Bombyx mori: one gene and its partners. The main gene of each other region encodes a partner of the protein of the gene in region 4 in a complex. Links are inferred from orthologs where the notes say so. Each region holds a gene or a part of one and is shown on either strand. Other genes may lie near its edges. The genes, in order: general transcription factor IIH subunit 4; Znrd1; general transcription factor IIE subunit 2; DNA-directed RNA polymerases I, II, and III subunit RPABC5; RNA polymerase I-specific transcription initiation factor RRN3; DNA-directed RNA polymerase I subunit RPA2; DNA-directed RNA polymerases I and III subunit RPAC1.

Region 1 (3,950 bases), on a different chromosome or scaffold from region 4:
AAACCGTTGTGCCAGACTTTGTCGAACGCTTTTGCGACGTCGAAGAAGAGGGCTCCCGTGTAGATCGGTTTTGGTCGGTTAAGTCCCACGAGAATGTGCTCCGTGAGGCGGTGCACCTGTTGTACGCATGAGTGATTCGCACGGAATCCGAATTGTTCATCGATGAGAATGCCCTTTGATGAGACGAAGTCTCTGAGGCGTTTGTAGAGCAGACGCTCATACAGTTTGCCCAGAGACATGAGGAGGCTAATCGGGCGGTAACTCGTCGGATTATTTTTTGGTTTACCGGGTTTGTGTATGCCGATAACGTTCGCTTCTTTCCACACCGCGGGAAAGATACAGTTAGCCATAGCGGCATTGAAGATAGATGCCAACATCACGATGAGTTGGATGGGTAGAAGTTTAATAACGCGGTTAGATATACCGTCGGAACCGGGAGCTTTGCGAGGACGTAGGTCTTTGATCAAGTCTTTAACTTCGGGGTGACGGGTGGTAACGCATCCAAGGGTGGCAAGGAGGCTCTGCGTTCTACCTCACTGTACTAATTCTACATGAACAGGGTCCACGGATTGAGTGCTGGGCGTGCACTGGGTTTGCAATGTATCGGCCAGCAGCTCTGCTTTTTCGTCATCATCGAACGCCGCGAGTCGGCCTGAGGGGCCTACGAGGGGGGGCATAGCTACTACCGTATCCGATTTGAGAGTACGAGTATTCTATCCTAAGCCTACATAATGATTGCAGAATTGCTTTATTTCCATCAAAGGATAAACTTATTCACTCCCTGTCTTCTATAATTTGCGAATATGTTATGATTTGACCTTGAAATAAAACAATAATATTATGTTGATATTTTCCAATGTCTACATTCTTGGAAAAAATTATAGGAATCCGAAACATAGTTTATTTTTTCCTGATATCGTTTTCAGTGGTCCTACTCAATATATCAATGAATAGCATATCTAATTTTTTTTTTAAATTGGTTCCATATTCCTTTGTTTTTTTTTATAATTATAAGCTAAGCTGTAAATGAAAAACTGACCAATGTTGACTGCTTCATCATTAAGTGTGGTTTGATCTCAGATTTTAATTCTTTTTGTGATAGGAAAGAAGCTGCAAAAAGTGGCAGTAAACAGTACTTTTTGCCACATACAATTAAGTAGCTGAGGTTAAATTTGGATAATATGAAAATAGTATGGAGTCTACCAGGAAAAAGATACACTTAGTGCCACATTATTGAAAAAAGGTGTTTGGAAGGGGGTTAGTTGTAGTATAGAGACATATCTCCATGGGATCACATTCATATATCAATGTACCATTGACAATCAGTCACCCAACAGCAGTGCCACATTTAACTCAAATTTCAAGAGATTGTTAAAAAGCATTACAGAATGATTATTTATTTTTTATCTCCCAAATTTGTAGGGGAAGGCAGCATTCACTTCTTTAATTCAACAACTTCAACAGCTTCAAGGGTTGGTTACTGTCATTTTGCACAAAAAAATCCATATCTTATGAAAAGGAAAATCAGCACTACAATCTCTTTTGACATTTGAGTTAAATATGGCACTGCTGTTGGGTAACCGATTAGAATGTTATTTTTTTCCCTATCTATTCCCTGCTAGTTTGGGATATTCCAGCTACGCTCAGACAGCTAAGTGAACTCAGGGGCTCAAATCCAGACAATTTGGTAGCATTGGCCCTAGGAAGAGCTGTGCTTCACAGAATCTATCACCAGATGGGAGTCGCGACCTACTGAGAAGATGCGGTGAGAAATTCAGCAGGCTGTGTCTATGGCTTACTTTGGCTAACTCTTCGTCATAATCAACAAGTTCGATGAGGAGGATGATGGATGCTTGCGAGGCCTAAAACCACTGGATACATACATGTCTGTTTTTAATTTAGATTTTGTGAAGGTTGACATTCTTCACATACCACAGTGCTCTAATTCTCGCAACTCTTCTACACATCCATATAATTTTGTAGGACCATGTTTAGCCATGTTTGAGTCAAACTATAGATGTTATCAACATTTACTTTAAGACCTTTTACTGTGTATTGTGATAACAAGTACATACTTGGCATATGTTTGCGAGACCCAGGATGTGACAACTGCCTGTGGGACTGGCTGCTCAACGAACAGCAAGCGGATTACGAAGTGACGTGCTAGCTCTGGTAATTCGCTGGAATTTAGTATTATACAATAGTTTTATTCAATTAAAACATGATTACTAGTATTATCTTTTAGCTAGTCATAGACAAATTAATTAAATAGTTGAACAGTAAATCACTCTGTACCTCTTATTGTATATTCATTGGTGAATGATAACAACTGATTTTTTTGTGCTTTTGAGCGTATGACATATATACACGAGAGTCATTAGTAGTTATTATGTATGAAATAGCTCAGTTTTAGGAATATTTGGATGCGTTCCGTGCATTACCTCTAGCAGTCTTACTGCCTTACAGGTAAGGTTATGAATAGCGACTTACCGATATACAGCGAGACATATAGTGGGGTAATTGTAAAGAGTCTCTAGAAACTGCGGAGACCGCGACTTAAGATATTCGTGAAGGTCTTTGCATTGTAGTGTAGGCGAAGGATTCAAATTTAAAGACTTCGATTTAGAAGACTCTGACATCGTTCTCGCTGTCTGCTGTCTACCTAATAATTAGTTCTTAAATCTCTTTAATTCATAAGTTTCAGATTATAATAACAAAGTAATCCAAATTCAAAACAACCCAAAACAAATTGAAATTTGACAACCACATTTCATGACTTCGTGACAGTTGACAGATTACTTTCCTCTAAGATCTGATTGCCATATTGAAAAAGTAAAATAACCATAGGGCTTACCATTTAGTTCGAATTACAGAAACTCGCACCACATGAGCTTACGGATCGTAGTGGTTACTGGTTACGGACAGTATATACATCACGACGTATCTCGAGACATGAAGTCAAAATATCAATAATGTTGCTTAATATTTTTGTTTAGTCATAAAACCGATAACACCTTTTCCACCATATTTTTCAACTCTTTGGTACAGATTTGGTATTTAGATTTGGCATTTGAATTACAGATCGCCTACTTCAAAGATATATATTTAAACTACGAATGCGTATATTTTTTTGTGATCGAAGCCTTGATATGATTTTAAAATGATACCTCGGCCCTTCCTCCTCCTCAAGTCGTTCTCCTCATTGAAAGGAGGGTCGTGACTCCCCCGCTGCATCAATCTCTCTTATACGATTGTTCTCCATTTGCTACGATCCTTGACCTCGTGAAGGGCGTCGTGGAGCTAGGCCTAGGCACTTATTAGTTCTGAAATGTTTTGTCAGATCAATAATGAGCGCCCTAATATAATTAAATTATACCTCGTGTTTTGATACAATGTAAAAACCGTAATTTTTGTGATTGCATAGTCATCGAGAAGTGCAGAAAGTACGGTCGATAGAGGACAATAATACAAACCAAATAGTGTTTCGAAAGTCATTCTATTACCTCCACCACCTCAGTTAAAAAGACCCGGCTGAATGCGCGCACGCACTGTCCTGGTGAAACTGAACGGGCCACCAGTAAAACTTTCTTCCTAACAAAAAGTAAAAAAGTGCGTTGTTAATGATATTATTTTTTATTGTTGTAATCGTAGGCATGCGAATATACGGCCACCAGATGGTAAGTAATCACCGTCGCTCATAGATATCAGCAGTCAGCAATGCCTGAGCCCAAGCAGTTGCTAAGTGTTAAGAATTGTCTTCAGATCTCGTTTGAATAAGGATACGTCAAAGCGCCGGGGAAACATCGTAAAAATGTTAGAGAAAAAGTTAGATATATATATCGAAATATTTATTACCTTTACCTATTAAATCAGTAGATTATTCATGCGTATGGATTTAAAGTTGTTTATTGATGTATTTTTTTTAATATGATCCGATAATTATATAAAAC
Region 2 (2,818 bases), on a different chromosome or scaffold from region 4:
CCGGTTTGAAATCACAACGATTCTAAAGAAGTTTTCACTTCAAAAGACAGGCTGTCAGTTTGAGGGAAAAATGTCATGATATAAAAAAATGTGTTTTACGTTTTTAAAAGGTTCAAAGATAAAAATCAATTGATTGTTAATGTATACGATTTTAAGGTGCGTGTGGAATAAATAAATGCTTCCTATACTGCAGTTTGAGTTTAATCCGCAACGACGACAGTTGTCAACATATTTCCTAAATACCTACTAATCTATATATGAGAAACAATGAAGATGACTGATTTTAGAGATCCACTATTGAAGAATTGCGTTTATAATTTCGTTTATAGAGTGGAGTTAGTAATAGTGTAAAGAGCAAGAGCTAAAAATGAGCTGTAGTAGACTGTAGTGGTTATATCTACAGCTACTGGGAGCGTTCTGTAGTTCTGTAGGCATTGTCACAGACTGTGGTAGAGAGACAAAAAGTCCACCAAAACTAAAACGTAGAAGTGCAATCTTCATTATTTTAATTACAGCACGTCATTTCGTATCCTCCCGATCCACTAACGGTGCTTTTAAGCACTTCAAATCACCAGTCATCGTTCTCGTCGAAACCGTCGCTTGCGACAAAGGGCTCGGCGAGTAAATTAACCCACAGACACAACCCACTGAGTTTCTGGCCGGATCTTCTCAGTAGGTCGCGATTCCGATCCGCTGGTAGATTCAGAGAAGCACTGCTCTTGCTAGGGTTAGCGTTAGCAACGTCATCAGGTTTGAGTCCCGTGAGCTCACCTACTTGTTAGGTGACGCTAACATAGCCTCTCAAGGCTATGAGCTTAGGTAAGAAAAAGAAACAGTTACTGAACTTCATCTTTTCAAATTTTAGTTACAAGTGATCTAATACTATCAGTATGGGCTATGTTTCCTTTGTCAATTGTCAAACAGTTAAAAAAAATTGTACGTAAGTAATGAATTTATCATTATAGTAAAAAAAAAATAGGTTTTTGTATAGCAAATACTTAGGGTATGTATACACTAAAACTGTCTAAAACCCTTCACAAAAATATATAGTATGCTTCATATTGGTTTAAAAATATATTTTGGTTATGTTTAGTACTAATAGATAAAGATTTAAAATAACCTAATATTCTAAACAAAAATACACAACCCTTTTAGTGATAATTGTGTTTACTTTTAGAAATAATGTCCACTGAAAGCCCGTTATCAACTAGTACAGCGTTTTGTGCTCGCTGTGGGTCCATATTACCCTTGCTACAAGAGTTTGGCTCCGTGAAATGCTACACTTGTAAAGCACATTATGAGGCTGATAGTAAGTATATAGTTGCCAATGAAAAAATTACTTTCATATAAACGGGATACGATTTTTCAGCGTTATGCTTTTGTATAATTTTCGAATATTCACTATTAAATTTATAATAAATAAAAAAACTTTAGTGATACTTATGAAATCCAGAAAGAACCTGTTGTATTTGTTTTCGAAATATAAAATAAAAACTTAAAAAAATGTTTTATTCAGAAATTCTTTTTTTACAGATTATAGTAAAATGAAATTTCAATACACAATACATTTCAATACTATATCTGTGATCACAAATGAGAATATACTACATACTGATGGTCCTGAGGGTCCAGTTGTGGAGAGAAAATGCGCTAAATGCGGTTACGACAGAATGTCATATGCAACTCTACAGTTACGATCGGCCGATGAAGGACAAACAGTTTTCTACACATGTATAAAGTGCAAGTATGTAAATTACAATATTTATTTGTATTTCGATGAGCAAGTCATCAATATCTGTACTTGTATTAAATAAAATTGGACCCTACCACTAGCCTAAGACAGGAAAATAATTGCAACTTGTGGCCAAATTTCCTTGGTAATATAAAACTGGACATAATAATGATCTTGTAAGCAACTACTATCTCAAAAATAAAATTATTTCCTAATTTAAAAAAGAACACATCGTACAAGATAATATCGTAAAGTATTATTTATTTTCAGATACAAGGAAACTGAAAACTCCTAAAGGCTGCTTTATACTAGTTTTAAGGTTGTCAAAGGAAAACTCGGCAATAGAATCATTGTATCAGAATCACTTTATGCAAAAATCAGTTTTACTGATTGTTTTAAATTAGGTAAATTTAATAAGGATTAAAATTAATCACCATGTAACTGGTGCGTAATTTTAATTCCATTTCTTGGAATGATAACTTTTAAACTGTAAATTCTATACTGATTAATCTTAAAAACCATGTTTTAAAAATTACATGTAATAGAATCAAATCTGAATAATTGAAATTATAAACATTTGTCCAAATGTTTTTTTTATGCTGAGAAATACATTTCTATTTTTAAATAATAAGTTCAATGAAAGTTTCTTTTTCAAAAGGTTTTATTTCCATGTTTCTAAAACCATAGCAATATTGAAGAGTTTTATGCAACAAGTTTATTTGGATCTTAGTGTAGAAGATTTACATTTGACAATTTTTGATAAACTTATAATACACTACTCAGAAATAATTCTATGTAGAACAAGCTCGGCCATATTAGTTTCCTACAGTAAGCATAATATGCCTGTATAACAAAAGTACACACTGCTAATCTTCCATAGTAGAAGTCACTGGATTCTGTAATACATACATATTTATTAAGGAAAATTTTTACCTGCCTCCTAAGGCCTTATCCCTTGATACTAACACCAGCACAATCGCTTGATACTTGTAAACCGGCATCGTATCCTATAGACCACAACAACATCAAGTGGGCTGTGAGCTAGCGTAACCATACAATGAAGAAAAATAATCGTAGTATTGGCAA
Region 3 (3,950 bases), on a different chromosome or scaffold from region 4:
ACGGCCCACCTGATGGTGAGTAGTTACCGTCGCCCATGGACTTCAGCAATGCCAGGGGCAGAGCCAAACCGCTGCCTACAATAAATGAAATGCAAATTGAACAAGTACTTTTTATTTATATGATTTTTGTCAGGTGATGATCTTTAAATCGTTTTCTAGTTACTACATTTGAATTATGTAAATAATGAAAATATTATACGTACCTCAGTAAAGATTTTTTATCTTTTATTTTATAAACCGGTTTGAAGTTAAACTTTCCATCCGGAGAGCATTCGATTTTAGGATTGCTCTGTAGGGCTTCTGTTTGTAGCCACTTGAAAATGTTTACAGCAGGTTATAAAAGAGAAATCAATTAAAATAGAATATTATTTATAAAAAGCATTTTAATCAATTTGGGTGTTGTGGTACTTGTGTGCTGGGGTATAATAATACTGTAATTAATGCCATCATTTTCCTAAAGTAATTACTCATGATTATTTTTATACATTATGTAGATACAGTTAGTGTTAATAGGGTGTCTTGTGAGCATGCAGGGGTAGATATAACCACACTGCCTATTTCTTTACTGAAGCATAAGCAATATAAAAGTGAGATTTAGAACTCATGTCTATATACTCCAGTAACTGCTTAACACCAGGTGGTTCGTGAGCACATTAGACTTAGTAATAAAATAAAAATTGCATTTATCATCAGCTATAAGAAAATGTGTGTGTTGTTGTAATTATTATTGAGGTAATTTATTTATTATTTCAATACTTATTAAAAGATACCTGTTTTATTTTATTTCCGACATCCAATTGATTTGTCTCATCTAAAATCTCATCTAAAGACAGTGGATGGTCATCTCCATCTTGATGCCTTGCTCTCATATGCCGTACAATACGCGCTAGCACACCAAAGCGATAGGACGAGCTGCCAGTCATAGTCTTGTAACTGAAAAGGATGATGATCAATCACAGATTTAACCAATAATTATAATATAACAAAAAATAATATTATTAGTGTTTGCTTATTGATCTAAATTCGACCATAATCATTGACACCTCAAGGTTTAGATTCAATTTAGTATTAAATTTTCCCTTTTGTTTCGTTACTTAGTGATATAAAAAAAAATCTAGAACTGTTTTCTGATAACACAAAAGCTCTTTAATAGCTACTAAATTAAATAAAAGGGAGAGTTGTCAAACAGAGAAAGAACTGGTATCTATATGCTCTATCTCAATATTTTATCCATTGTAGCACTAAATATGATCAATTCTTTTTTATATATTTTATAAGATTTTAGCAAATACACTAAATGATAAATTATTTTTTTAACAATAAAAAGCTCGCTACATATAGCCTGTATCAAGGCTATCATAATATAAATTTTCGAATTCCAAATAAATCCTGTGTTTTTTATTTTTCATAATTTTTTTTCCAAAGGCTTTTTCTAATTTTTTTTATTCAAAAGTTGATATTGCTATAAAAAGTTTATTAGTATTATTTAATAGAATTGGCGATTAAAATTACCTATAAAGCATAATAAATTATGGGAAGCAATGGTACTGATGTCATGAATAGATATTGCTGATATAGTAATTTGACCTAGTCAAAAGATAAAACTAAATGTGATTTCTAGTTTATTAATGAAAATAGCATTAGTAAATGATGCACATATTTGTTTATGCGGAACACAGTAACTATGTAAATTCAATAGTTATTTTGATAACAGAATATTTTAAATTATTAATTATGTTGCCCTAGCCTTTACTTACTTACTAGCATCAAGCTTTGGTCCGGAGCTGACTGAGCTGGATGATTTCGATTTCTTTTTGCTGTCATCTTTGAATTCAGAGTCATCCCTTTTCTTTTTTTCAATGCTGAAGAGAAAAGAATAATACTTTATTAATTTTGTTTCGTTCTAATTTGACAGTAACCTTTCGATGGGTTGAACTATAGCTCATGTAAAGTGTACTTTTATCAAGTGTGACTATGCTGGTATTCAAATACCATAGACCTGTATAATTTTTTCCACGGCAAAACATTTCTAACACGTTTTCATAAATGGATTATAAGATGAAGTAGCATTTTAGATAAAAATCATGTTTCAAAACAATTGGTGACATTCACATTATATCTAGGGGCTCAGGTAATCACTTAACATAATGTGGGCTGTCAGCTTGATCAGATTCTTTGAAAAAATTCATTACTTTAAATTAAATGAAACATTTTCCATTGTATTCTAATTTACCTAGGGCATGCCAGTCAATATAATCTTTAAAAAAATAGGGCCTGTGCCTTGATCATATTTATCTAGAATATTGGCTGCTATTAAATTAGGAAAGATATTATATCTTATTAACATTTAAATCTTCTACTTTTCTCTGCACAAGTGATTTGTTCACATTTCTACTCATTTAGTATTTCGAAACACATATTTCCATTCATAACTTTATATAATGACTCAGTAATGAATATTGCCACAAGGAAGTGAATTGATAGTAATTGTATGGGCTACGTGAGTGACAGAGAAAGTGTGCGATGGATGCCAGTATGTCTCCAATCATTGTTGTGGACTAGCGAATAGTTTAGTTAAAAATAATGTAACAGACCTCGGGGTCGCAAGTGCCTTCTTTTTAAACGCTTCCCGTTCCCGTAAGAGCGCCGGGTCCATATTTTCGTCTTTTAAACACAATCACTAAAAGTACGTATCAATTGTATTAGTATTTTGTTTAATTGCTGTTGTAATGTAGTCTATTTTCCACTTCCAAATCCTGTTTCTTTAAAATCCGGTTTGAGCAATTTGACATGTGACATATGACCATCTTTGACAAATGACGTGAGGGAGTTCATATAGAGTCCCTTCTTTATTTCGCCTGGTTGTGTTTTATGTAATTAACACCACAGTTGGAACAATATAAATTTTATTGTTGTAGCGGCATAAAGTAATTACATTAAATTGGTTATTATCACATTATAAATTATTTTTGTTTTTCATATTTTGGCGGTAAAAAGGTATTGTCACAGACTATATTCTTTTTCCCACATCTCGTGCGTTCCGGCTTACGCATAATAAAACGCCACACCACCCCCCTACGGAGAAGGAGAATCCGCAGAAAAAGAGAAAAAAATATCATAGGTCGAAAGGTTTGGAGAAGTGGACTCTGCGACCTGATCGGGTGGTATATTGAGGTGTATGCGTAGGAGTAGCAGTTAGAGGTGCCGAAGGCACGAGTGGACATGAAGGGACATTAGTAGCATCCGGTTGCGCTGGTTGAGGCACAGAAACCCGCGGTGCTGGTGCTGGAACGAGATCTACTAAAGAATGCTCGACGAAAGCTGGCTTAATTCTGTCGACACTGACCGTCACCTGTTTCCCTTTTACATCAATCGACCACGTTTTTCCGTCCTCGGCTCTAGATATAACTCTATGAGGACCAGAGTAAGGTGGTTGCATTGAACGTCTAACCGAATCCTCCCTGAGCATTACATGAGAGGCGGTGGAAAGATTTTTAAATATGAAAGGTGATGGTTTAGTGTGTGAGGAACATGGAGTGGGACGCAATTTAGACATACGCTGTCTTAACTTTACGACAAAATCCGTCGGGTCCTCGAAGCCAGAAGGACCGGGAGGTACTAACAGTTCCCCTGGAAGCGTTAATGTTTCTCCGTAAAGCAATTCCGCTACTGTTGCTTGTAGATCTTCTTTAAAAGCCGAACGCATTCCTAATAAGACCAAAGGTAATGCATTCAACCACGAATCATCATAACACATCAGAGAGGCCTTTAATTGTCTATGCATGCGCTCCACGAGCCCATTGGCACAAGGGTGGTAACTAGTAGTGCGTATACGTTTAGTACCACATAAATTAGTAAGGCGTCTGAAAAGGTCCGACTCGAACTGTCGTCCCTGGTCGGTAGTGATGACAGCAGGTACTCCGAATCGAGCAATCCAACCGGCTACAAAG
Region 4 (3,274 bases):
TAATTGAAGTGTGTGACGAGCTGATAATGAGCAATAATGAAATGTGGATTGGCCGTAACAAGTAAAAAGCAATTAAAACAAGTCTCATAACAATAAAATTTTTGTAACTAGTCTTAACCTACTCTAGTTTTTTTTGGTACATGAAAAAATCACTCTTATTTAGTTTATATAGTTTCAAGGCTTTAACGATTCAGAATATTAATAAGCTGACAAAAACCTGCACCCACGCACTCGTATACAAACCTCAATTGATGCAGATTATAAAAGAAGCAAACAGCAGGTCATTTTTCAAATGTTAGAGCTTACAATAATTTTGGCTATTAAATATACAGTAGAGATAGAATTTCTTCACAAATAGACAGAAGGAACCAATGTCCTAGGCTTTGAGACTTTGACCAGTTAAAATAAATACTGTGTTAAACTTTCCATTGACAATGGGAGGCATGTAAATCAAGAGCCTTTGTGCGGTGATTAATATAGGTATGAAAGAAAAACTCTAATATCTTAAAAAATTTATGTCAATTATAGATTTTTATTTTTAATTGTGTTTTTTAAAAAATATTTCATTATTTTTCTAATGGGGAATAATTCAAGAGTTTTTCAATGAGATCCACGTGTCCGAGCAACATTCTTCTGCAGCAGTATCTTTTCAATCCAAGGACATCCAAAGCATCACTGAAAGTAAAAAAATACAATTAAATATTAACATTCACATAGTAAATCTACTGTATACAGTACGCTTAACTGACTTCGATGATTACCAGTAATCTATCACTATCAAGAGAATCTTATGCCTATAAACACATTAAAAAAGGTATAAGAATACTCAAAGCTAACAAGCATTAACAATCTTATTTCATTGCTGCAGTTGGTAGTAATGATTATATCAACTCGGGCCACTTTTTACATAGCTTACTTGTCTAGTAGGATATCATCTTACATTTATCACTTATATGCTTCCGTTTCCTCACACTCAAACTGGATATTGCAAAACAGTCCAGAGATTAATCTGGTGTCAAGATCTACCATCATTACCACCTCATTCCCGATCCTGCGGACAGAATGGAAAGCAGTCGACGTCGCCCTAAACACGTCATCTCGGATCCTCCTGATCCACTAACGGTGCTTTTAGGTACTTCAAGCACCGGTCACCGTTCTCGTCGAACCCGTCGCTTGCGACGAAGGGCTCGACGAGTAAATTAATTCTCAGACACAGCCCACTGAGTTTCTCGCCGGATCTTCTCAGTGGGTCGCGTTTCCGATCCGGTGGTAGATTCTGCGAAGCACGACTCTTGCTAGGGTTCGTGTTAGCAACATCGTCAGGTTTGAGCCCCGTGAGCTCACCTACTAAAGTTAAGGCTACGCTGAAATAGCCGCTAGGGCTATCAGCTTAGGTAGGAAAAAAAAAAAAAAAAAAAAAAAAAAAAAATTACCACCTTGTGACCTATGGATTATGATAACCACTTTAAGATAGGTGGGCTGTAAGTATGAGTTGGCAAATAAGAAAAACCCAAGTTAACAGGAATCACCTACATATTCCGTCATTTGAATTCATAAGAACATTAATATTGTTTCTGGGAGGAGCTGTTTTATCTTTCTTGCTGAATTTTTATCAAATAACTACATTATATTATGTATGTCAGTTATTTCCATTTTAAAGTTCTAGAATATTGGTAAGTATAAAAACCAGTTGCAAAACTTAAATTGTACAGTACCCTTCTGTGTAATCCGCCTGTAGCAGGCCTAAGTAAGCTTCCCATTTGTTTCCTATAACCTTCCCGCATGTGAAACATCGTACTGGAATAATCATTTTGTTTATTTCCTACAACCTAAAGTTGTGGTGAGGCACTGGGGTTATAAAGTATCAATGCTTTAACTATTTATTTGGTTTATAAAACGTATTTACTTTTAATAATAATAGAAGATATTTTAGTTACAAAGTATCATTAAATTTAATGAGAAAACACTGTAATTCTATTCTTTACAATTCACAATAATATTATTTTACTTCGAGATAAAAACTTTTTAGACTCGCAACGACAGTCATAGATTACATATTGTATTGTCTATGACTTATGATTAAAGATGACAGTGTCACAAGAAAATATGATATTTTTGTTTGTCGATTTCAATCGGCAAAAGGAATGTAGTCTATAGAACCAAATTTTAATGTTTTATTTTTAAAACATTTTAAAACATTGAATGAATGTTCATTTCATTTGAATGGTACATAATTATTTTTTAAATTTCCAAACTGACTTTTAGTGGTTGGATTTTAGAGAGTAAGATATGCTCCTTTTTAACGTTTGAGTGAAATTGATTGACGCATATTTGGAGCAGTCTACTTATTATTAGAATATTTTAATAAGTAATCAAGAAATTTTCTAAGCCAGTCTCTTAAAAAATGTGAAATGTATGGTTTTCTCTATTATTTCAGGTTAAAATGACTTTATCCCTGCAGCAACATATCAGTATTGATGACAGTCAAATGGTACGTAGCATTTCATTTGTGATCATCGGCAAATTTTCAATGTAAATAAATCAAGTTAAAACAACCATTCATTCCGTACATTAAGGCATGGGAGAGCATATCGAATTTGTGAAATCTCAAAAGTCCAAAGTTAATTATTTTATTTTGTAAATTTAATATTTCATCAGATCTACATGTGTAATGAGAGTGAATTGTGAACCGTTTGGAATATGTGAAAATGCAAAAGTTTGGGAAAATGAAAGACGAACGTCAGTCATAGCTTCTCGTATTCTTCCAAAATATGCATTAGGCTGTCAGTTGCTTAATAATAAGTTACTGCGATATTTATTTAATTTCATGTAATTCAAGTCCTATGATGTTGTTGTTGTTAAGTATATTTCATTTTCTCCTTCAGTGTTATCTGCTTCGTCTCAATATAGGAATCGACTCATTGCAATGCTGCGCTGCATAAAAATATGTTCTAAATACATTTCCAGCTGCTTTACTCCATTTTCTCATACTTGTGTACTATAACAAATGTTTTACGGTTAATAAACCATTATTTTAAGCTTTAAAGTCTGAAGAAACCCTAAATTAACTACAACGTACAATTTCCATTCGGTCTCATACAATTATTCAGTTTATTCGTTCCAGTTCACCTTTGACTGATGATTGGCTTCAGCTTAAATTACAAAACATTTTACTGTATGCGTCCCATTTCCTTTGCCTGTACTATATGAACGAATCAATAAAAATGATATTTTGACAATTGACATTAGATTATTAAAAGAAATACAACAAACA
Region 5 (4,240 bases), on a different chromosome or scaffold from region 4:
CTTCAATGATTGGTTCCATCGTATGGAAAAATGTGTCAAATTTCGCGGAGAATACTTCGAAAAGCAATAAATACATTTTTAAATAGTAATGTTGTGTCACTTCGTTAATTCCCGAAATTTTCAGTGCCGCCTATGTATTGATTGATGTAGGTGCAAAATCACACAACATAGTTTCCAGAGTCATTTATAAAGCCAGATAGAACTCTGTGCACCTGGTTATTTTAAGAGAACAATTTCAGTCTCTCATTGACCCATTTATTATTAAGTATTATATTAAAATTTTTGAGTGTGTCACAGAAGGCTCAAATATGATCTCATCAGCTAATGTTTTGTAAGTAGTATGGTGGGTCCCATAAACTTTTTAAACATCTATGTGATGATCTTGTGGTATTCAAACATTTTTAGTTAGCTGCAGAAGACAGTTCCCAAAAAGGGAACTGTTTTAGTATAATGAGATCTGACCAATTAAATATCTCATCCAACCTTTGTAGGTTGTCAAATATATCATCAATATGCTTCATGAAGCATTTTGATATATTAGCCTATATCCACTCACTTAAGAGTAAATACTGGGGCTAAATCAATACACATACTCAAATAATTAAATTCCCAAACCACTCTAATTCAAATTGTTGAAGATTTCTGTAAATATTTTATAAATTTTTATGTATCGTGACACATATAGGGCGCTTCATTAGAAAATAGTCCTGACATTACTTAAATTGTTAGATAGATATAAACATCCACAAACAATGTAATATGAAGCATAACCTTAAAGAAAGTTACGTAAAATACTTACATCGGCATTATTGCGATAATTTGTCCTATGATTGTATGAATGTTAGACCAGCTATTCAATTTCTCTGTTGGTGGAGTGTCATCCCAGTTTTCTTCATTAGCTAAAAATATCATAGTCATCATCAAATATATCTCTAACTAATGTTATGAAAATTATTATTAGATTAAGTAAGTCTGCCTAAAAAGGCAATATTTTTTTTTAAATATTATCTTGGATACTTCAACTTGTGACTGCTGGTTTGGAATCCTGCAGGCTGGTAACAATTTTTCTGATGGAATACTACTTACTTAACTAATGTTCACAAATGACTTCCACAGTGAAGTTGTGTAATAAAAATCAAACCCGTAAAAGTTTTAATTTCCTTAATTACTATCAGTAGAGAAACTTGTAAGCATGCGTGGGTAGGTACCACCACTTGCCTGCCTATTCCTGTCGTAAAGCAGTAATGTATTTTGATTGAAGGGTGGGGTAGTTGATGTACTGTAAAAACTAAGTCTTAGAACTCAGGTTTCAGGGTGGGTGGTAGCATTAACATTCTGTATGTCTATAAGCTTCAGTGAACACTCAACACCAGGTGGGCTGTGAGCTCATCCACCTATCTAAGCATTATAATAAAAGTAACGGACTAATAGCATGATAATAATATAATTCAGTTTTATACAATACAATATTTCAGTAGTTATATTAGTAAGAATATGAAATAAAAGAAAATCTCAAATCTTAAATGTTACTAGATTTCTGAAAGAGTACTTGTATTGACTTTTATGTGTTAAATTCTTTCACAATATTTCACAATGTTTTTATTAGTATTTACTGATTATTCGTTCATATAAATATATATTTTATATGTTCATTTCTATTTTCTTTGTCTTTTAACAATTTTATATTTAATATTACAATTATAGAATAATATAATGTAATAGCATAATTTATGACATCTTCATAATTCCTACAAACCAATGAATCGTAAGTGGCTATCATTGTCCAGGTATACTAGAACTACCACTGTGTGTTGCTAACTTACCTTTAAAAACCTTAACCAGACAGCTCATCACTTGCGGACAATGGTAAATATGTGCAGTGACTAGGCTAATGATGAAGGTGCTGAAAAGGTTGACTAACTTTTCACACCTACTAGCCCACTCAACATTGCACACTGCTTCTACAAACTGCTTGAAATCCTGTCCCATAATCAGAACGCAAGAGAGACAATCTTCGAGAATAATCCGAAAATTCTCATCATTTAATGGGTAATCTCTCAAAACTCTGACTAATTCCGAGTAAGGTCCAATGTTTCCTGTTTTAGCATAATTAAGAAGTATCTGTTCTATTTGTTTTTCGGAGAATTTCAATCTAGTACGAGCTAAAGCCGCTTGGCGATCCAGAGTTTTTTGCATCAAGGACGCGACGCTTTTCCTAGCCGCTACCGCCATTACTTCTTCAAGTCTTTCGTGATTGCCTTTAAAAACTCTGTTACGTCTGGTTGCCGAAGCAATTCTGCTTTTTTGTAGTTCAGTACTTCGCGTAAAATATTACTACTATCTTCTATGTTCGGGACAGTATTTGTGTTCGGATCGTAGCTCGTACTTGGTTTGCTGTACCCGGCGCTCGTGTCGGAAACGTCAGTGTTTTTCTTGTCTTTCAAATAAGACTGTAATCGCTCTAAAACAGCCTTGTTGTCACTTTCTTTCTTTTCTGGGCTATAACCTTCTCTCGACATAGCTTAACGGTAACTCTAAGTTTTACATTGTGTACAATGTTGCTGATGTTTTATTGATTAATATTTATGATGAATTAACGGAAAATGTACACGTACGTTCAAATTAAACCACCTAAACCTAATTCTTCACCTCAGTTCCTTTTATGAACACGTGCGCAACGTGCGCGGAACTTTTTGACTTTCTATTTGACACGCCGAAATTTGTCATTTTGGTTTGATTTTTCTATCTTCAAAAGGCAAAGAATAAAATGACTATACGTTAGTCTTTTCTTTTGAAAGACTCGAACCAAGTCTTTTTCGAAAGAAAGCATAATTAATTTTGTGGCTTGAAGAATTAGACGCCTAATAAAATCGTATTAAGCGCTGCCACCATGTTAGTGTCTAAATACTGCACATATTAGTTGAGGTATTGGTCTCTATTAAAACTTTTTATTTTTAGATTTATTGTCTATTTCGATGAGAGCCCTTTTGCGTTTTGTCATTAAACTATCGACAGCACTTATTTTCTGTGTATAGTTTTAATGTTATAAATAAGTTAGTTCTGACTTCAATAATTAATGTCATCAGTTTGAGCTTGAGCTGATTTATCGATTTAATGTTTTAAAAAAAATTGTATTATTGCAATGAAAAGTTTTATTTTCCCAATTTAGGAATGAAACTCGTATAAAAACTCCGTAGATAATACACATGGTAAAAAATTACTCCGATCTGGCCAATCGACTCCTATTTTAGATTAATTAAACTTTGTCTATTATTTTCCCCTAAGTAGAAACACTGAGTTAAAAAGTTACAAATCTATTGAACGTACGAACGATCGAATTTTTTTGATAGTATTATAAATATTAGATTATTCATATAAACTCCGCTTTATTTTGTCTGTCAATACTTATTGAATTCAATAGAGATACAACATATATAAATAAGAATATAAGAGAATACAGTAGAGATGAATGTTGTGTCTGCATTACAGATTACGAATGTGATTTGATGTTAGACTGCATGTACGGTACCTACCTACTTGAATTTTTGACGTTTGTCGTTTATCTGTGACTTTTCATTTCTCAATGAAATTGGGAGGGGTGGAATGCGTGTGTATTTCGGAATTCCGGATTTAATCTTCATTTTGTATTATCATTATCAGTGTGTGTGTTGTGTTGGAAAACTTTAAAATAATGAACTGTACAAATAAAGTGTGATTTGATTTGTTTCCTTTTTTAATTGTCTTGATAATCATGCAAAATGGCCAACGATTTGTGGTCATGTACCTGCTGTACAGAGGCTCTGACTTGTTGGCTGCGTCTGAAGCTATCGCCGGAGGAGATAGAGCAACGATATAGGAGTAAAGAGATCGACAGAATACTCGAGAAAGATAAGCAAACTTTGCGGCGGCAGGTGAAGCTGTTGTTACTCGGCGCGGGTGAAAGCGGAAAGTCAACATTCCTCAAACAGATGAGAATCATACACAAAGTGAAATTCGAACCGGAACTCGTGCGGGAGTACCAGCATGTGATATATCAGAACATTGTCAAAGGCATACAGGTGTTAGTGGACGCAAGAGACAAACTCGCGATACCATGGGAGAATCCGCGGAATTTGGATATCGGCCAGCAAGCACTGCACTTCAACAGCACGGCGTCGCTCGACAGCCGACTCTTCATGCACTACGCGCCGCACATACACTCATTGTGGTTAGACAGAGCCATAAAAAGGGCATATGACAG
Region 6 (3,927 bases), on a different chromosome or scaffold from region 4:
GTGAGCAGGAAAAACATTTTTTTTTGTACCACCCTAGTCCTATACATTGCAATCTGCTGGTTATTGGGGTCTATTCCGCCCATACAAAGATTGTAGTACTACATGACAGTCGGCTTCAATGTATCCCCACACCTGGTAGATTCGAAACCATGGTATGTCGAAATAAGCGCCACGCGGTTTTTATCCCTCCACACCATAAGATCCACATCTCCCGAGGTGCATCCCAACACTTGACTAAGATGTCCTTTTCTGTAAGGCGCGCCAATTCGTAGGGTACAAATTGGCTTTGGTCCGCAGTGTCCCCAAACTCACAGTCACACTCACAACCTTCAGTTCTCCAGCCAATGCTGGAGAGTTGTAGAAATTGTCCGTCCATATTGTGTGCTCTCTAAGCTGAAGACCATATAAAAGTTTGAGCACGAGAGCTAGTCTTGTCCCAGAAATTGGATCATTTTGAAGGTGCCGAGGTGTCATAGCCTGCATGTAATTCAAGCCACCACAAATAGCCAGTCAATATATCCAGCCACACTTCATATGTTTTTATCCCAACTGTCGCTGCCTTGTTACGGACGAACTGGTATAACAAGTCAGCCTTTCACATGGTCAAACTCTCATCAATGGCCACATTTTGAGATAAATTATATAATTCTGAATTTTTGATTAAGGCCGTTAATGCCAGATCTCAACAACAGTATTTCATTATGATAGGACTTTTTGGTGGGAACGCGAGGAGCGAAGTTGTGTGAACAGTTTTATTTGATCTATTTAAAATATCTTCAGGTTTAAAGGTGTATATAATAACGGTGGTTTATTAACTGTTTAGTATCTTTGAAAGTGCACAAATGTAGGAAAATGAAACAAAGCCGCTGAACGTAGCTTTTTGGGATCCTCCAATAAATCCACTGAAAAAGTCTTAGTAAAATAATCACCATTTTCCTGACAATATATCTAATCCCATATCATTTCATCTCGTTTCATATCGTTTCATCTCGATTCATCTCGTTTCATCTCGTTTCATCTCATTTCATTTCGTTTTATTTCACTTCATATTATCATTTTTCATATTTAAAACATAAAATATAGGTTGTATGGTATGATACTTTTGCTTTTTCAGTTAGAAAAGTAGAACTACCACTACTTCACTTTGACAGCTACGACATGTGGTCAATTTGTGTTTATTTATAAATAAAACCTACTGTAAATTAAGAATATGAAAGTTAAATACGTAATTAAATCAACATGAATCCAAAAAAACTAGCCCAAAACCCATCATTGGCGTACACAAGCCACCCAGATTATAGAAAACCGCCAAAAATAGCAAATCCGGTAAATAACCTTTACACCTCATTATTATTTTTCTTGTAAGCCCTTAAAAGCAATTTGAAAATCAACGAAGTAATCGCGATGGCGTGTCTTCGAGAAGTTTGTTATTAAAGATTTAAAACTTTTTGTACTAAGCCATAAATAATTAGTTTAATTCGTATACCAGTCGACTTAACCTAATAGGTGTATGGCTCTAATAAAGAATAAAAAAGAAAATTCGTGTACTGATTCATCACACTACTTTATTTTCTTTTCTAATTTCCTTTTTTAACTTGTTTCATTTTAAGAATAATAAATCATACACTCGTTACAGTACCTTCAAAGTCTTGGAGCGCCTCACATAGATTCATTCAATTATATGCTGGACGATGGCCTGAAATTTGCTATAGCTGATCTATTGCCATCGGAATTTGAGTTACCTAGTGGTGAAAAGGTCAAAGTGACAATCGATGAAGCAGCATTCGCTAAACCCAATGTTCCCATGGATACAGTAGGGGTTAAATCTCAAGTGGTCCTCCCAACAGAATGCCGGCAGAGAGCTGCTACATACAAGGGAGAGTTAAAGATCAGAGTCACTCTGTGCATTGACGGAAGGTCTGTCACCATTGAGAGGTCCTTAGGTTATTTACCCATTATGATTAAGGTGAGTTCATTGTGGTAATTTTCCTTTGAAATTTCAATTTAAATAATTTTGCTTTAAATTTGTAATTTTAGCTATCAGTGTATCAACACATTGAGGGGTATAATGAAAAATACTTTAGAGAATTTGAGAAACTTTTTGCTTCATGGTAATTAATGGTATTATAATACTAGTGAAAAAAATATGTCAGCTGTAAACTCATGTTAATGTATATGGAATGCAAATAAATTGGACACTGTTACCTTTAAAGCCTAATTCTGTTATATTAACAAACTAGTTTTACAATTCTGGTCATCAAATAAAGTTTTAGGAGGAAGGTTCGACTGACACTTGAGCATACAAAGATAGTCATCGTGGCCTAAAGGATAAGACGTCCGGTGCATTCGTATATAGCGATGCAACGGTGTTCGAATCCCGCGGGCGGGTACTAATTTTTCAAATGAAATACGTACTTAACAAATGTTCACGATTGACTTCCACGGTGAAGGAATAACATCGTGTAATAAAAATCAAACCCGCAAAATTATAATTTGCGTAATAACTGGTGGTAGGACCTCTTGTGAGTCCGCGCGGGTAGGTACCACTGCCCTGCCTATTTCTGCCGTGAAGCAGTAATGCGTTTCGGTTTGAAGGGTGGGGCAGCCGTTGTAACTATACTGAGACCCTTAGAACTTATATCTCAAGGTGGGTGGCGCATTTACGTTGTGGATGTCTATGGGCTCCAGTAACCACTTAACACCAGGTGGGCTGTGAGCTCGTCCAATCATCTAAGCAATAAAAAAAAAAAAAAAAAAAAATTCTAATAATCACTAAATGATATGTTAGCAATTCATTGCCTAAAGCACTTTTAGAGCAATTTATATGTTAATCATTCACAGCCTGGGATCCTGATACTATGATTTCTATGAAATTATTATTTGAAAAGTTGAAATAAGGAAAACAGACCCTATAATTTAAACATTAAGAATCTTTATATTTGTTAATAGTGTAATACAGAGGATAGTTTGGTGGAGTCATAATGAAATTATTATGATGACTATCAATTTAGAAAGAAAACTTTTGTTATTCTAACCTTCTTTTTTATTACCCTTGTAACAGAGGAGCTTATGGTCACCTGAAAGTGGGGTGTAGTTCTGAATATTGTTTAAAAGTAATGCTTTATTTAAATTTGTAGTCTAAAATGTGTCATTTGGCTGATTTATCACCTGAAGAACTGATTGAGAAAAATGAACATGCTGATGAATGGGGTGGATATTTTGTAATAAAGGTTTGTAACTACCGTCATTTCAAAGAAACTATATTTTCAGTAAAATTATTGCACAAAATGTTAATAATTAATTAAGTATGTGTTAGTGATTCTGAAAAGAATCAGCGCAGGACCAATCATTTTTTAGAGGCTTGGAGGAGGCCTATGTCCCACAGTGGACATCTCTGGGCTGATAGAAGACGAAAAAGAATATTCTAGAAACCCACTGTATGAATAGATTCCCAATGCTGTTACTGCAGTCAAAACCACTGTAATGAGAGTGTCTGACTGAGGAGAAGCTATCGATTAACATGCAGCTTTTGCTGAAATAATAATTCTTCATCTCAAAGCTGACAGTTCATGATAATATTCAGTAGTCATTAGAGAAGATTGTTACTGCTATTGTAAGTCTTAATAAAATTTCAGTAATAATATGAAAGCCTTTCAAATGGCAACAGATGACTATCTCACAAACAATATATAGTTTACTAGCGACCCGCCCTCACTTCGCTTCGGAAACTGTAATTTATTATTGATTTCTCCACTATTTAATGGATGTTACTATATATATAAACCTTCCTCTTCAATCACTCTATCTATTAAAAAAAAACACATCAAAATCCGTTGTGTAGTTTTAAAGATTTAAGCATACATAGGGACAGACAGATATAGGGACAGACAGATATAGGGACAGACAGATATAGGGACAGAGAAAGCG
Region 7 (4,271 bases), on a different chromosome or scaffold from region 4:
CGTTTCTTAAGTAAATAAAAAAATAATAATAATAATGATTTCTTTTTGTTTCCTTTTGTTGGAGTTTACTCCTTTAGAATCGATTTACATATATAGGCCCGGGGTATGAAAATTATGGGGACCAAAATCGTACTAGCATGTCACACGAAATGCGTTATGCGCCTGATTGGCTCCTGATTGCGTGATGCGTGCGCGCGCCAATCAGGAGCCAACGCGCGGCCGCGTTATCGCAGGTGACGCCGGGCTGCTGCGCCGGCAGTCCGCCACAAAGCCTCGTACTGATCGCGCGTTTCTCTCATTATTGTATTTTCATATATTTGTTAGTCGTTTGTTTTGTGTCTCGTTAATTTGTTAATAATCTGTAGTGTATCGTGTTGTCGTAATATAGAACTATTTCTCGTATTGTTTCGTTTAATTTTTTATATCCAGTAAACTCCAGTCGTGCGTCGGAGCGGACACACACACTTTTTTCATTTCTTTCTGTTTCGATTTACATAAAACAGACACGACTTCACTTACTGTAACAAAAATTAGGATTGTATGGTCTTTGATCCTTTTGCCCAGCGAGTTGTCAATTCAAACAAGTAAAAACCTCTATTTATTTTCCAATACGGTACGGTACCGTACCGTAAAATGGGGCGATTAGGGACAAATTCCAACTTTATGAGCAATTTTAAGGTAGTTGTTGATGTATATAATGCTATATCAGGATCAAAATGATTGAGTCTTGGGGGCATCTTTGTTGTCTAATTTAAAATTATGCAACTAGCATTCCAGTTTAAGCAAAAAATGCAAAAATAGGTGTAATCTCTATTTACCCGAAAATTGCGGTTAATTGGGATGTAATGAGAAATTTGCTAGGGTTGGCACTATTTTTATTTTTATATATAGTTTTAATTTATTTATTTATTTAGTTGCACCAACAAAGTGATCATCAATAAAAAAAAATGAAAAACTGACAAAAGTACATGGCAGACATCACCTCAATTATAGGTGCAATCGACAGTGCTGATATTTCTATCTGGGTTAAGAGATTAGGTGTGTCGGTTATTCCATGGATTAATCAGATGAATACCCCCACTCTGAACAAATATTAAATATTTTATTATGTATTACTTAGACATTTTTGTCCACCTTGAGATTTCATTGATCTTGTTACATGTCTCTGCAAAATCGACTTACTTATATTAAATTGCTTATCTATTTCAAATAAAGACTTATTCCCAATTTCGCTTCGAATAAACCAGATATTTACCAACAAATTCAAAAAATATTGTTATAACTACATAGACAACCCTACAAACCTGTACCTATTTATACTTAGGTCGTTTCCATTTCACGTATTCTCATCCCAATTGACCCCTTTTTCGTTGTTATTTGTACCTAAGACGTCCCCAATAACCCCAAAAACAACAGATTTTTACATGTATTTTTATTTAATCAAATACATTAAAAGCAATAACAACTGAGACTTACCTTTAATATATATGCTGGTTCAAACACTAAATAACGTTTATAAATCATAGTCGTCTTCTATTATTATCAAATAAATAAAAGAGAGCAAAGTTTCTAGCACTAAAATAATGACCACCACAGGAAGTTAATTTGAAACGCGATTTTTTATAAGTTAGCAGCTATTATCATGCATATTCAGAGTTGTTTTGTGAACTTTCAACATTCTACTATTAAACTACAAAAAATGGAAGATTTTGCAACGAATATAAAACTTATATTGAGCGTCGAAAGATTTTCCCGGTTTTTTCCCGATTCGCCTGTCAATCCCTAATCGCCCCATTTTACCGGTACCGTACCTATGTACCTACATAAGTACAAACTTACATTACTTACTACATAGTCAAAGTTTAAATTACCTACTAAAAATTACTTAAAATCACTACTTAAGTGTATAATCTATGATCACTACCTTACGTAAAATCATCGAAATATTTAATTTTGTCAATTATATCTGTATAAAAATATGCGACAAACTTTATATACAGTAAACGTTACTGTATACCTGTGAAATAAGATAAAACCTTATTTACATTAATTAGTAAAATATTGCAAAAATGCCTAAATTCGATGAAAAACCCCGAGTTTTTCTTGAAGAATTCCGTGTTAAGGTTCTCCTTTAAATTGCAAGACTTATTTACAACGATAAAAATGCACATGATCATAACCTAATAATTTTTGCCCGTACAGAATGCACCCGAAGATTACGGATTAGACGATGAAACATGGGACTTCAAAAAGTTTGTGAAGAAGTTTAAGATAGTTGTAGTACGAATGGACAATTTCGAAATGGAATTTGACTTGATTGGGATCCAGCCAGCATTTGCGAACGCATTCCGGAGACTCATGTTAAGTGAAGTTCCTAGTATGGCTATTGAAAAAGTAATGATCAAGAACAACACTTCTATAATACAGGATGAAGTTTTAGCACACAGATTAGGATTGATTCCTCTCAAAGCTGATCCAAGATTGTTTGAATATAAATCTGAAGGTTTGTGTACAAATTATTACAAAGCCGAGACCATATGTGGGCATTCGTTTTGGAAGATGATTGTTTTCTGTGAAATTGGTTGTCTAATTATTTTTTATTTATCAATTACGTAAACTAGTACACTAATAAAACCACAAATATTCATTTTTCTAGTATCCTAAAATTGACAATTTAGAGCTGGAATGCAAGATGTTATTAAATACTCACTTTTATACCTCAATAAACATTTATATCTCATAATCAGTAAAGTTTTCACAGCCTAAAGGATAAGATGCCTGGTCCATTTTTATTATTGTAACTATGATGAAATAAAAAAAGTTAACAGAAAATAAAAGAATTGTTTGAGCAGCTCTTGTAAATAATTTGAAATTTTATTTTCAGAAGACACGGAAGGAACAGAATTCAACACTTTAGAATTTTCACTAAAAGTAAAATGTACCAATAGCAAGTCACAACCAAAAGATTCATATAGAGCTGAAGATTTGTATGAAAATCATAGTAGTGAGTTTTCTGTATATCAATATAATAATGTGTAACAAACAGCCTATTAATGTTTTTAATATAACAGTAGATCGCAGATCAGCATATGGCCCTGGTATTAAGCTTGCTGCAGTGCATAGATATAGGTGATTCACTCACATTAAGATATGGGATTGAAGTTTCCATTCCATAGCAAAACAGCTATCCTTACAAACTGGATTCCTTTGCAGTAGAAATGGACAAGATAAATTATGACTACCAATACCAAACTTATAGAATGTTACTGCCATTTTCTGGTAAATTTTTTAGCCACCTGTAACAACACCATGGTAAGATATAGAGTGGTATTGTTGTATGCTGATAGGACAGAACACAGAGCTGATTTTTTGAACTATGGACTAATCTATGAAATTTATATTTATAGTTTTTTTATATAATGCTAGATGATTTTGTTATTCTTAATACTTAGTTAATTACAAATATGTTTATACAGTTTATTCATCCCATATGAAGTGGCATCCAATTGGCAACCAAGCTACAGTTTATAAAGAAGCTGATGTGGGTCCTGTACATAAGGATATTCTTATATCAAAAATGAGACCTGGCCATGAAATAGACCTTCAAATGATTGCCGTGAAGGGCATAGGAAAGGATCATGCAAAATTTTCACCTGTTGGTTAGTCCCTTCTTATGAATATTTTATAAAATGAGATAAGCTTATTTTAATTATTAAAAAAAATGGTTTAACTAACATATCCATTTTATTCTACAGCAACAGCTACATACAGATTGCTGCCAGAGGTAACACTGACTCGTGAAGTTTGTGACAGTGAAGCCACACTGTTGCAGAGTTGTTTCTCACCAGGTGTTATTGGTATTGACTCTAAAAACCGAGCATATGTGAAAGATGCAAGATATGATGCATGTAGTCGTAATGTTTATAGATATGACACAATCAAAGATTCAGCAATCCTAAGTAGAGTTCGGGATCATTTCATATGTAAGTAGCCATATGTAAATTAATGAAATCATAAAAATGCCACAAATAATTACATGTGCAACAGTTTTTTTGCTATCAATGCTGGTTACCTCAAGGGGGTCTAGCTTCACCTAACGTGTAGGTAAGCTTACAGGCTCAGTCTGGCGAATTTGCTAACACTAGCCCTAGCAAGGGCAGTGCTTCTCAGAATCTACCACTGGATCGGAATCGCGACCCAGTGAGATGATCTGGTGAGAAACTAAGTGGGCTGTGTCTAAGGTTTAATTTACAAACCCAAAAATCTAAAAA

The links.
Region 1: DNA-directed RNA polymerases I, II, and III subunit RPABC5 (region 4) and general transcription factor IIH subunit 4 share a complex: the UniProt entries of both Homo sapiens proteins name them as parts of the TBP-based Pol II pre-initiation complex. The link is inferred for Bombyx mori from reciprocal best matches to the Homo sapiens genes POLR2L and GTF2H4.
Region 2: DNA-directed RNA polymerases I, II, and III subunit RPABC5 (region 4) and Znrd1 share a complex: the UniProt entries of both Homo sapiens proteins name them as parts of the pol I pre-initiation complex. The link is inferred for Bombyx mori from reciprocal best matches to the Homo sapiens genes POLR2L and POLR1H.
Region 3: DNA-directed RNA polymerases I, II, and III subunit RPABC5 (region 4) and general transcription factor IIE subunit 2 share a complex: the UniProt entries of both Homo sapiens proteins name them as parts of the TBP-based Pol II pre-initiation complex. The link is inferred for Bombyx mori from reciprocal best matches to the Homo sapiens genes POLR2L and GTF2E2.
Region 5: DNA-directed RNA polymerases I, II, and III subunit RPABC5 (region 4) and RNA polymerase I-specific transcription initiation factor RRN3 share a complex: the UniProt entries of both Homo sapiens proteins name them as parts of the pol I pre-initiation complex. The link is inferred for Bombyx mori from reciprocal best matches to the Homo sapiens genes POLR2L and RRN3.
Region 6: the proteins of DNA-directed RNA polymerases I, II, and III subunit RPABC5 (region 4) and DNA-directed RNA polymerase I subunit RPA2 are in contact, whole or in part, in a cryo-EM structure (PDB 7OBA), measured with the Homo sapiens proteins. The link is inferred for Bombyx mori from reciprocal best matches to the Homo sapiens genes POLR2L and POLR1B. Residues at the interface, in NP_066951.1 of Homo sapiens: Met1, Ile2, Pro4, Arg6, Cys7, Phe8, Thr9, Cys10, Gly11, Trp18, Tyr21, Leu22, Leu25, Gln26, Glu31, Gly32, Arg42, Tyr43, Cys44, Arg46, Arg47, Met48, Leu50, Ala51, His52, Val53, Asp54, Leu55, Glu57, Lys58; in NP_061887.2 of Homo sapiens: Leu16, Leu19, Thr20, Asp21, Pro22, Tyr24, Gly25, Pro27, Ile157, His160, Glu161, Glu162, Ala163, Phe698, Leu701, Thr702, Arg713, Gln715, Thr716, Pro717, Gln718, Ser719, Leu721, Asp733, Asn734, Pro736, Asn740, Ala741, Ile742, Asn760.
Region 7: DNA-directed RNA polymerases I, II, and III subunit RPABC5 (region 4) and DNA-directed RNA polymerases I and III subunit RPAC1 share a complex: the UniProt entries of both Homo sapiens proteins name them as parts of the pol I pre-initiation complex. The link is inferred for Bombyx mori from reciprocal best matches to the Homo sapiens genes POLR2L and POLR1C.

Annotation. Positions count from the first base shown.
Region 1 is NC_085125.1:220,016-223,965, forward strand, and holds the start of general transcription factor IIH subunit 4, read right to left. Parts: upstream 2,801-3,950; 5' UTR 2,640-2,800; coding exon 2,491-2,639; intron 2,181-2,490; coding exon 2,076-2,180; intron 1-2,075. UniProt on the Homo sapiens protein: Component of the general transcription and DNA repair factor IIH (TFIIH) core complex, which is involved in general and transcription-coupled nucleotide excision repair (NER) of damaged DNA and, when complexed to CAK, in RNA transcription by RNA polymerase II.
Region 2 is NC_085112.1:11,752,624-11,755,441, forward strand, and holds Znrd1 (transcription-associated zinc ribbon protein), read left to right. Parts: upstream 1-1,176; 5' UTR 1,177-1,177; coding exon of another isoform or gene 1,178-1,182; coding exon 1,183-1,309; intron 1,310-1,533; coding exon 1,534-1,744; intron 1,745-2,002; coding exon 2,003-2,027; 3' UTR 2,028-2,318; downstream 2,319-2,818. UniProt on the Homo sapiens protein: Core component of RNA polymerase I (Pol I), a DNA-dependent RNA polymerase which synthesizes ribosomal RNA precursors using the four ribonucleoside triphosphates as substrates. Can mediate Pol I proofreading of the nascent RNA transcript.
Region 3 is NC_085118.1:15,267,097-15,271,046, reverse strand, and holds the start of general transcription factor IIE subunit 2, read right to left. Parts: upstream 2,801-3,950; 5' UTR 2,657-2,800; coding exon 2,595-2,656; exon of another isoform or gene 2,591-2,594; intron 1,863-2,590; coding exon 1,758-1,862; intron 934-1,757; coding exon 771-933; intron 314-770; coding exon 204-313; intron 1-203. UniProt on the Homo sapiens protein: Recruits TFIIH to the initiation complex and stimulates the RNA polymerase II C-terminal domain kinase and DNA-dependent ATPase activities of TFIIH. Both TFIIH and TFIIE are required for promoter clearance by RNA polymerase.
Region 4 is NC_085133.1:5,485,049-5,488,322, reverse strand, and holds DNA-directed RNA polymerases I, II, and III subunit RPABC5, read right to left. Parts: upstream 2,088-3,274; 5' UTR 1,811-2,087; coding exon 1,716-1,810; intron 676-1,715; coding exon 567-675; 3' UTR 501-566; downstream 1-500. UniProt on the Homo sapiens protein: DNA-dependent RNA polymerase catalyzes the transcription of DNA into RNA using the four ribonucleoside triphosphates as substrates.
Region 5 is NC_085116.1:3,278,874-3,283,113, forward strand, and holds the start of RNA polymerase I-specific transcription initiation factor RRN3, read right to left. Parts: upstream 2,801-4,240; 5' UTR 2,233-2,800; coding exon 1,824-2,232; intron 900-1,823; coding exon 800-899; intron 1-799. Other genes in the region: Galpha12 (G protein alpha subunit), read left to right, coding at 3,759-4,240. UniProt on the Homo sapiens protein: Required for efficient transcription initiation by RNA polymerase I (Pol I). Required for the formation of the competent pre-initiation complex (PIC).
Region 6 is NC_085132.1:2,350,415-2,354,341, forward strand, and holds the start of DNA-directed RNA polymerase I subunit RPA2, read left to right. Parts: upstream 1-1,127; 5' UTR 1,128-1,239; coding exon 1,240-1,326; intron 1,327-1,636; coding exon 1,637-1,966; intron 1,967-3,137; coding exon 3,138-3,230; intron 3,231-3,927. UniProt on the Homo sapiens protein: Catalytic core component of RNA polymerase I (Pol I), a DNA-dependent RNA polymerase which synthesizes ribosomal RNA precursors using the four ribonucleoside triphosphates as substrates.
Region 7 is NC_085131.1:5,578,812-5,583,082, forward strand, and holds the start of DNA-directed RNA polymerases I and III subunit RPAC1, read left to right. Parts: upstream 1-1,471; 5' UTR 1,472-2,069; coding exon 2,070-2,123; intron 2,124-2,202; coding exon 2,203-2,503; intron 2,504-2,884; coding exon 2,885-3,004; intron 3,005-3,476; coding exon 3,477-3,659; intron 3,660-3,755; coding exon 3,756-3,983; intron 3,984-4,271. UniProt on the Homo sapiens protein: DNA-dependent RNA polymerase catalyzes the transcription of DNA into RNA using the four ribonucleoside triphosphates as substrates.